Linked DNA regions of Drosophila melanogaster. The protein of the gene in region 1 interacts with the protein of each later gene in a pairwise test. Each region holds a gene or a part of one and is shown on either strand. Other genes may lie near its edges. The genes, in order: Sdhaf3 and ND-ACP.

What was found.
Region 2: the proteins of Sdhaf3 (region 1) and ND-ACP interact in a two-hybrid assay, tested with the Drosophila melanogaster proteins (2 studies listed by BioGRID).

The regions. Positions count from the first base shown.
Region 1 is NT_033777.3:16,481,335-16,484,685, forward strand, and holds Sdhaf3 (succinate dehydrogenase assembly factor 3), read right to left. Parts: upstream 1,119-3,351; 5' UTR 1,028-1,118; coding exon 946-1,027; intron 880-945; coding exon 770-879; intron 714-769; coding exon 543-713; 3' UTR 527-542; downstream 1-526. Other genes in the region: Dhfr (dihydrofolate reductase), read left to right, coding at 1-6, 57-525; Der-2 (Derlin-2), read right to left, coding at 1,695-1,872, 1,929-2,449, 2,534-2,620. UniProt on the Drosophila melanogaster protein: Plays an essential role in the assembly of succinate dehydrogenase (SDH), an enzyme complex (also referred to as respiratory complex II) that is a component of both the tricarboxylic acid (TCA) cycle and the mitochondrial electron transport chain, and which couples the oxidation of succinate to fumarate with the reduction of ubiquinone (coenzyme Q) to ubiquinol.
Region 2 is NT_037436.4:1,327,785-1,332,069, reverse strand, and holds ND-ACP (NADH dehydrogenase (ubiquinone) acyl carrier protein), read right to left. Parts: upstream 2,122-4,285; 5' UTR 2,023-2,121; intron 1,940-2,022; 5' UTR 1,930-1,939; coding exon 1,780-1,929; intron 1,208-1,779; coding exon 1,121-1,207; coding exon of another isoform or gene 1,106-1,120; intron 1,029-1,105; coding exon 900-1,028; intron 791-899; coding exon 611-790; 3' UTR 527-610; downstream 1-526. Other genes in the region: msd1 (mitotic spindle density 1), read right to left, coding at 1-196, 252-288; Myo61F (myosin 61F), read right to left, coding at 2,655-2,669, 2,750-2,846, 2,909-4,285. UniProt on the Drosophila melanogaster protein: Carrier of the growing fatty acid chain in fatty acid biosynthesis.

The DNA.
Region 1 (3,351 bases):
CATTAAGTAAGTTGGTAACAAGGATTGAACCGCAGCTAAAGCTTTTGTACCATCAGATCTGAGCTGAAGTACTTCAGCCGCACCACCAAGCGAACAAGTGATCCCACCAAGCAAAATGCCGTGGTAATGGGCAGGAAAACCTACTTCGGAGTGCCGGAAAGCAAGAGGCCTCTTCCCGATCGGCTGAACATAGTGCTGAGCACCACACTTCAGGAAAGTGATCTGCCCAAGGGAGTACTATTGTGCCCCAATCTCGAGACGGCCATGAAGATCCTTGAGGAGCAGAACGAAGTGGAGAACATTTGGATTGTGGGCGGTAGTGGAGTCTACGAGGAGGCCATGGCCTCGCCAAGGTGTCACCGGCTGTACATTACCAAAATAATGCAGAAGTTCGATTGCGACACCTTTTTCCCCGCGATCCCTGACAGCTTTCGAGAGGTCGCGCCCGATTCCGACATGCCACTGGGTGTGCAGGAGGAGAATGGCATTAAATTCGAGTACAAGATTTTGGAGAAACACTCATAATAAAATAATACACTGATTTATTTGCCTTGCGCATCTTCTACTCCCTTGGCCGCCAGCATCAGCTCGTATAGTTGGACTACTTGGTCGTCTTTCAACATTTCTACAGTCTTGGGGTCAATCTCTTCGCCCAGCTCTCCCTTGGGCTTGCCCCGAATCCCTAGTTGTTGGGTGATTGTGGACGCATATCGCTGCAATGGAAGATTTGCTTAGTATGGCGCCTTTTTGTTTATTACGTAAAACTTACGGCCCACTCTGTCATAAAGAGCTGTGCCTCCATGGGATTGCACTTGAGGTGTCGCCGGAACTCGTCCCGCACATAGTTATCGCCCAGAGCACGAAGTTCCGCTGGAAGTCCTACGGAGTACAGAAGTTTAGTTGAAATGCATGCAATTTATAGTAATAGGGAATTTTTCATCTTACCTCTGTGCAGTCGCAAGATCGTTTTGTACAGCAGTCGGACCCTCTGAGGGTGGGTCAGTTGGCTCATCAAAATTCTGGACATCCTGAGTTCATATCATATAACATACTAATACTATACTATTTAGCAGCCGGCTAAAAACTAAATACGAGCGAATAACAACTGTTTTGTCGCAGCCAGTGTTGGCTAACGTCAAATTGAGTTGGCAGGTGGCAACGTATTAAAAGTTTGGCGCGCATTTGAATTGTCACCTTTAAAAGTTCAATGCTATTTTCATATTATATTTAAGTTAGGCACTTCGAATTGAACCACACTTCCGCAAACCAAATAATGTAAAAAGAAAATGTTTTTTTCAAATGGTTTTTTTTTATCAATCCCCAAGCGATTTCAAGCATTTTAAAACTGCAGGTCTTTTTATATAATGATTTATTTGTGGCATGGTTTGTATATATATAATCATCACATGTGCAGTGTAGGTTCAATCTGTCGTGGATTCATCCCTTGGGGGTAAATTATAAATAAAAGAACATCTCGTATGGAAAATGAGCTCTGTTTCAGAAAACAAACCAATAAATGACATACACACACGCTCTGCACCAACTTTGGCTAACTATTGCACGCCTTTCTCTCACTACTATACGCCTAATTACACCAAGCACCAAACAGAAGGTGGCGGAGGGTACACAACATTGTTGTCATCGTCGTCGTTTTGAACAGAAGAACGTTTTAACAATCAAGTTTTCTAGTTTTGCTATTGCGGCGCGGCAGCAACAGGCGCCGCTCGATTCGCTGGCTCCTCATCCTGTCCATCAGCCGCAATCTCTTCCGGTAGCAGGGGCTGACCCTCTCCGCCCCAAGGAAATCCGCCAGGTCGATCCTCAGCAGCCGCCTGGAAGTTGCGTTCGATGTGCTCATTGAAGAGACGTTTCCTAAGGACAACAAGTCGTTATTGCAAAAGTTATATCCCAATTCAAAGTAAACTCACAAAAAGTAGGGGGTTTTGATCAGTCTGTAGCCGTTGGACAGTGTAGGATAGACGTCCTCCAGCACGTAGTAGATGTGGCCAACACCCATGCCGATGACATCCACCCACACGGTGTTTCCCAGAATCATGGAGCAGCAGAGGAGCACCCACGGAAGGTACGGCGCCTGGAAGTTAAGCACCCCGAAGAAATTCATTGGCACCAGTGGATTGCGTCGTGACCACACATAGACCAGCATTAATGTGAAGGCCTGGCCCAGGAACAACAGGTTGACGAAGATTCCGAAGAAGGTCATTAGCACGCCGCCAAAGATGAACATCATGACAAAGTCGGAGCTGCGTCCGCGGAAAGATCCGTCCTCCAACATTCGACAATATCGATATGTAAACACCATATTGAAAAAGAAACTGATGCCTATTGTGCCAAAGTACAGGAATGTGGTGGCCAAGCGCCAGATCTGGAACTTGCGCACAATCAGCGTGGGATTGAAGTAGAGCTGCAGCGGCGACACCAGGTCCAGGTGCTTAAAAGTTGGCAAAAAATATAATCGAAGATAATACACGTACACGTCATCCGCGATTTAGAACGCACTACGGGATACACTTACCACCGCCAAGGTGGTCAGCACGCAGACCGTGGTGTAGGCTCGTGTGACCACCGGGATCTCCAGGTAGAACTGCCGCAGGGCATTCATGGCGGCTCCTCCTCCAACGTTGGACTCAAAGTGTGCAGCTTGGCAAGTGGGTTGCGATTGTATCCTTTGGACTCTTCGCTTCTTCACTGTTTATTCACCTACAACCAGCGGCGGACTATCTCTTTTTGGTAGTCCTCTCACCGGATGTTGTGCACTCCAGGATTGAGACGTGTTAATGGATAGGGAACAGCGCTCGGGCGATGGAAAATAAATGGAACGCTAGCTTTTATTTTTATGACCAAGGTTAGTGATGGTACAAATACTAGTGACACTGGCGCCAGATATCGATAAGCCGTAATCGTGACACGAAACTTTAAATTAATTTTATTTATGTGGTTAACAGAAGGAAGAACTTAAGATTGTGTCGTCTATCGAAGAGTAGTTCATCCAATATTTGAATGGAAATAATATTTATAATAACAGATAAGTTCAATATGATTTTCACTTTGAAATCCATAAGCTACTATATGATCAGAATGAATTTCTATACTATTATATATTGTATTTCCATATCTTCAATGGGTTTATACTTAAACTGGAAATTAATCAAATTTTCTTTTGAGTTTTTCTACTGCTCAATTGATTTTCCCGGATTTCAAATATATCACTTTCTTTTTCAGAGTTGGGGGCTATATTAATTGTAACATCTCTCAAATTTATTGCACTTGTTTCTTAATATCTAAAGTCTATTCTAGGTTGACTACACTAAAAATTGCACTGCGTTTTGTCTA
Region 2 (4,285 bases), on another chromosome or scaffold:
TTGAAGTTCTCCAGGATCTTGGACAGGGTCATCTCAGCCTCCGGCCTGAGGTTGTACATCTTCTGGGTCTCCGACAAAGCCACATTCTGACTGAATGCCTTGCTGTTGGACTCGATGTGGAGCAATGTGTTGTTCGACCGCTCCATTATCTCGTCTATCTTAGCCAGCTGGCGGTTCATGGTCTGCCGATTGGCCGCTGAAATTGGAAGCACGGAATAGAACGCGTGTCGGTGGTTTAAAGATATATTTACCCATTCCCGCCAACATTTTGTCCACAGCGTCTGACATTTCGAATATTCTGTTTGTAATGCTAGCAGATTAACGTGACCGTCGCTGCGTATCTAAAATACACAAGGCTTTCTAAAACAATCGAAAGACCAACGTTTCTATCGAAATTTAAATTTAACCGCCAGTACTAAATGACTCGTTTATTTATTTGGATAGTTAATTTATTAGCTGCTATTCCGCAGTTAATTATAGCCCTCGTGTACAATTGCTGACTACAAGTTAATTTAACGTTTGGTTTATTCAGTTGATCAAATTGTATTTGACTTGTTTTCTATTTAAATTTAAGTGTAATCCGTTCAATGGCTTGCATTACAATTACAATTTACTCGTACACATCCTCCTTGTCGGCGACGTACTTAATAATGTCGGCAGGTTTAAGCAGCTTCTCGGCATCAGAGTCGGGGATCTCGAAACCGAACTCGTCCTCCATGGCCATGATGACCTCCACGTGGTCCAAGGAATCCAGTCCCAAGTCGTTGATGAAGTGCGACTCAACGTTGAGCTGTAAATGCGAGCCATTAGCATTGGGTATTCAAAGGTTTCATCAGCTTTGTTCAGTTCTGATTTCTGAGGCGACCATTGCACTGGCAAAGGCAATATGTGGCGTTTACCTTGCTGGGATCGATCTTGTCGTAGAGCTTGAGCACAAGCAAGACGCGCTCATTGATCAGCTTCAGCGAGAGCGGCGGTTTCGCCGAGTATCTGCGCACCAATTGCGTTTGCCAGCGACCACGGCACTCCTGGTTTTTGGCCGGCCCGAGAAAAAAAGGAAGGAAACAAAGACCGGATTAGTGGCGCCATGCAATGGGTACTTTACCTTTTCGGCGGTCACTTTGTCGTAGGCGGAGACAACCTTTAGCACGCGGAACTTGATGTCCTCGATGGTGCTCTTGGCCGAGTAGCTGCGCACACCGAACTTCTGCGAATGTTAATGTCTAGTGAATTTTCGTCTCTATATGAATAATTGCATTGGTAGTTCATCTACGACTTATGGTGCATACAACTTAGCTAATTCTTCAATGAGCAGTGTAAATATATACGCAATTTAAACGAGGGTGGTTCGATGGTGTATGATCAACTGATTAAATACCGCGAAAACTATTGCTTGGATTGGCGTGGAAACATATTTAGATATTTAACAAACTGAAATCACATGTTTTAAAACCGCTACATTTTAAGGTCACTTCTAGAGGATTTTCACTGTAGTACAATCAACCGCACACAAGTGCGAGCACCGGTGTTGCAGGTGTATGTGTGTGTGTGTGCGATAGGGAAACAATCATGTTTTATGCAAAATAATGTGATGCAATCGAATTGGGTGGTTCGACGGCCACATGGCGAGGATCTTCTGTTGCGTTCATGATTGCAAGCACTTAATTGAATGTTTTGAAACTCGTAGATCACGAAACCCCGCCGTTTGCGATGAGGTTAGGTCCTCAACTGCGATTGGGGCTCCTGCAACGGAAGGGACCGCTTTGGACGTTCGCTTACTTGGCTCAACTGGCTGGTCATCGATGGCACGGCGATCCTGTGCATCATCCTGGAGGCCTGTGATTGGATGAGAATGCCGGAGGCGACCCTCCTTGGGGCCAAAGTGGCCGCCAGTCGACTGCAGCTGCGCGCGATCTGTGTGAACGACATCTCGGTTCTCCTGCAACGGAAACGCAGCGGGTTAGTATCGCATCTCTGCAGACGGTGCACGAGTGCAGGTCTCGTATTTTGGGCGATATTTACGCTGAGTTTTCAAGATTATGTAAAAGTGCTGGAGCAAGAAAAAGACAGCAAGGTAGCAGTGTGACCGTATGCGCAATGTACTAAGCTGTTTCTCAACTTACGCAAATAAATACTAAAAATACTTAATACTTGAATAATGAGTAAGTAACTTTCCCAACTATAATTTACAGTTAAATAATTGTTAGTGGTATATTAATTCACATGAATTTCAGTAGTAACGTTAGCTGAAATCTTCTTTTGTGAGTTGGGCACGACTTTAACGAGATTTTTAAAGTCTGGAGCACCGAACTGACGTTTCAAAGCAAAGTTATCGACTGCTGCTTTTGCCAATCGAGTGGGCGGTTCTTTTTGAAAGAAACGATATAAGAGACTAGAAAAATTGCCACGTTTCCTCTTTGAAAAACCACAAGTTAGTGATAAGAACCCAATTCATATACAAATTGTAATATATTTATATGTATTTTTAAACAATATACATTTAGTTGGAACATTAGTCATATAAAATCCGAATACACAACTCTCAGGTGCTGCAGTAACAAAAATACATAGTTACACTATAAATTACACGAATATAACAAAACAAGGTCGTTTGATTTAAAGCCACTTTTCTGAAGAAAGTCATAGTAAATTCCTTATTGCGTTCCAATCTGAAAAGAAATATTTGGTGTGTGAGGTCAGCACGATAATGGGCGTTTCCTCATGAGGAGCTGGAGCTCGCACTACTTACGATAACTAGATGGCCCTTATCACGAACCACTCCGGGCTCGGCGCCGGTTTGGATGTCGATGACGCCGCCCTTGCCCTTGACTACGTTGTGCTCCAACCTGGAAACGAATGCAACACTTAGTCAAGAGAAAACCACTGGGATAACCGATGTGCAACTTACGAATTTCTGTCCACAATGGAGACGATGGAGGCAGTTCCCACGGTGTCAATGATATACGTGCTGAACTCGATTATGCGCGGAATGATCAGAATCAAGTCGCCCTTGTCCTTTTTCAGGTCGAGCGGTATGCGGATGACCATCAGGTCGTCGTTGTGGTTCGTCAGCGTGAAGTCGATCTTGTCTAGCGGCAGGCGGTGCTTCTGCTTGTAGGTCTTGCCGTCGAGGACATATATAGCCTTGTTGCTCAGCAGGATAAAGCGGTCGCGGGACTTGTAGCCGTGCCGATCGAACTTGGTGCAGAAGGACTGGTACTTAAGCTGCTCGCTGCCGAAGGTGCTGGCCACGAAGTCGTTGACTCGCTGGATGTGCTCCTTGGGGATGCGGTCCTCCTGGAACCAAGTGGACACACTGCTCGCGTAGTTGTTCTTCTTGCCCTTAAAGACCTTCTCCGCCAGGACCTTCAGCTCGAATTGCCTCTTCTGCTGCGGCGTCAGTTTAAGGCGGTAGATCCTGGCCAAGTGGAGACGGTGCAGGCGGTGAAGGATGCCGGAGGCCTCCTCGCAGTGCCCAGGGGCATGGGGCCAGCTCTTATCCAGTACCTTGGTGGGCAGCTCCTTCGCCAGTCGAAGCAGCCACATACGCTTGGCGTTGGCAATAAACTCTTCATTGAAGCCATTCGGGGCATCGTTCCGGGTGATGAAGCCCTTGATAAAGGCACGAATCTTATCGGCGGCCTCCCTGCGCTTCTTGGCCGCCTGCTGTGCCAACTTTCGGCGACAATAGCTCTGCATTATGATCACCTGAGCACGCAGTTTCAGATACTTCCTCCTTTGCATCAATCCCTTCCAGTGGGCCTGGATGATGGCCGCTATCTCATGTTTCTTCTCCTGGTAGGCATCCTCCGTATCGAACAAGGTTCTCGGCCAGCGGATGAATAGTTTCGTCTCGCCCACCCTGTACTTTTCCTCGTCCCAGCCCAAATCTTTCACCAGCTGCTGGACACCCGCTTTCGGGCCACCGGGACCCTTGTAATTGGGCCAGGTGGACTTGCTCAGGGACTTGTAGCGCTCCAGGAAGAGCTCATACGTTCGTCGGTAGGCGAAACCAGCTCGCCTCACACGCAGATTCTCCATCAGGCCAAGGTACTTGACCTGGTGCAGTACCAACTCATCGTTGAAGACGTTGGCAGTCTGCAGGTCGTTTGGCTTGATGCAGCGAATGTAGCTCGGCTCCTTGCACATCAGAATGTCCATGAGGTTGTTAAGAGATGCCCGGAACTGGGTGATAGCCGTCTCCGGACGCTTCAGGCTGCGCAGCTCCTTCTCCGGGAAGCAGTTCCTCACAATGCCGTTGCCAGCCTTGCTGAGGGTCTCCTTT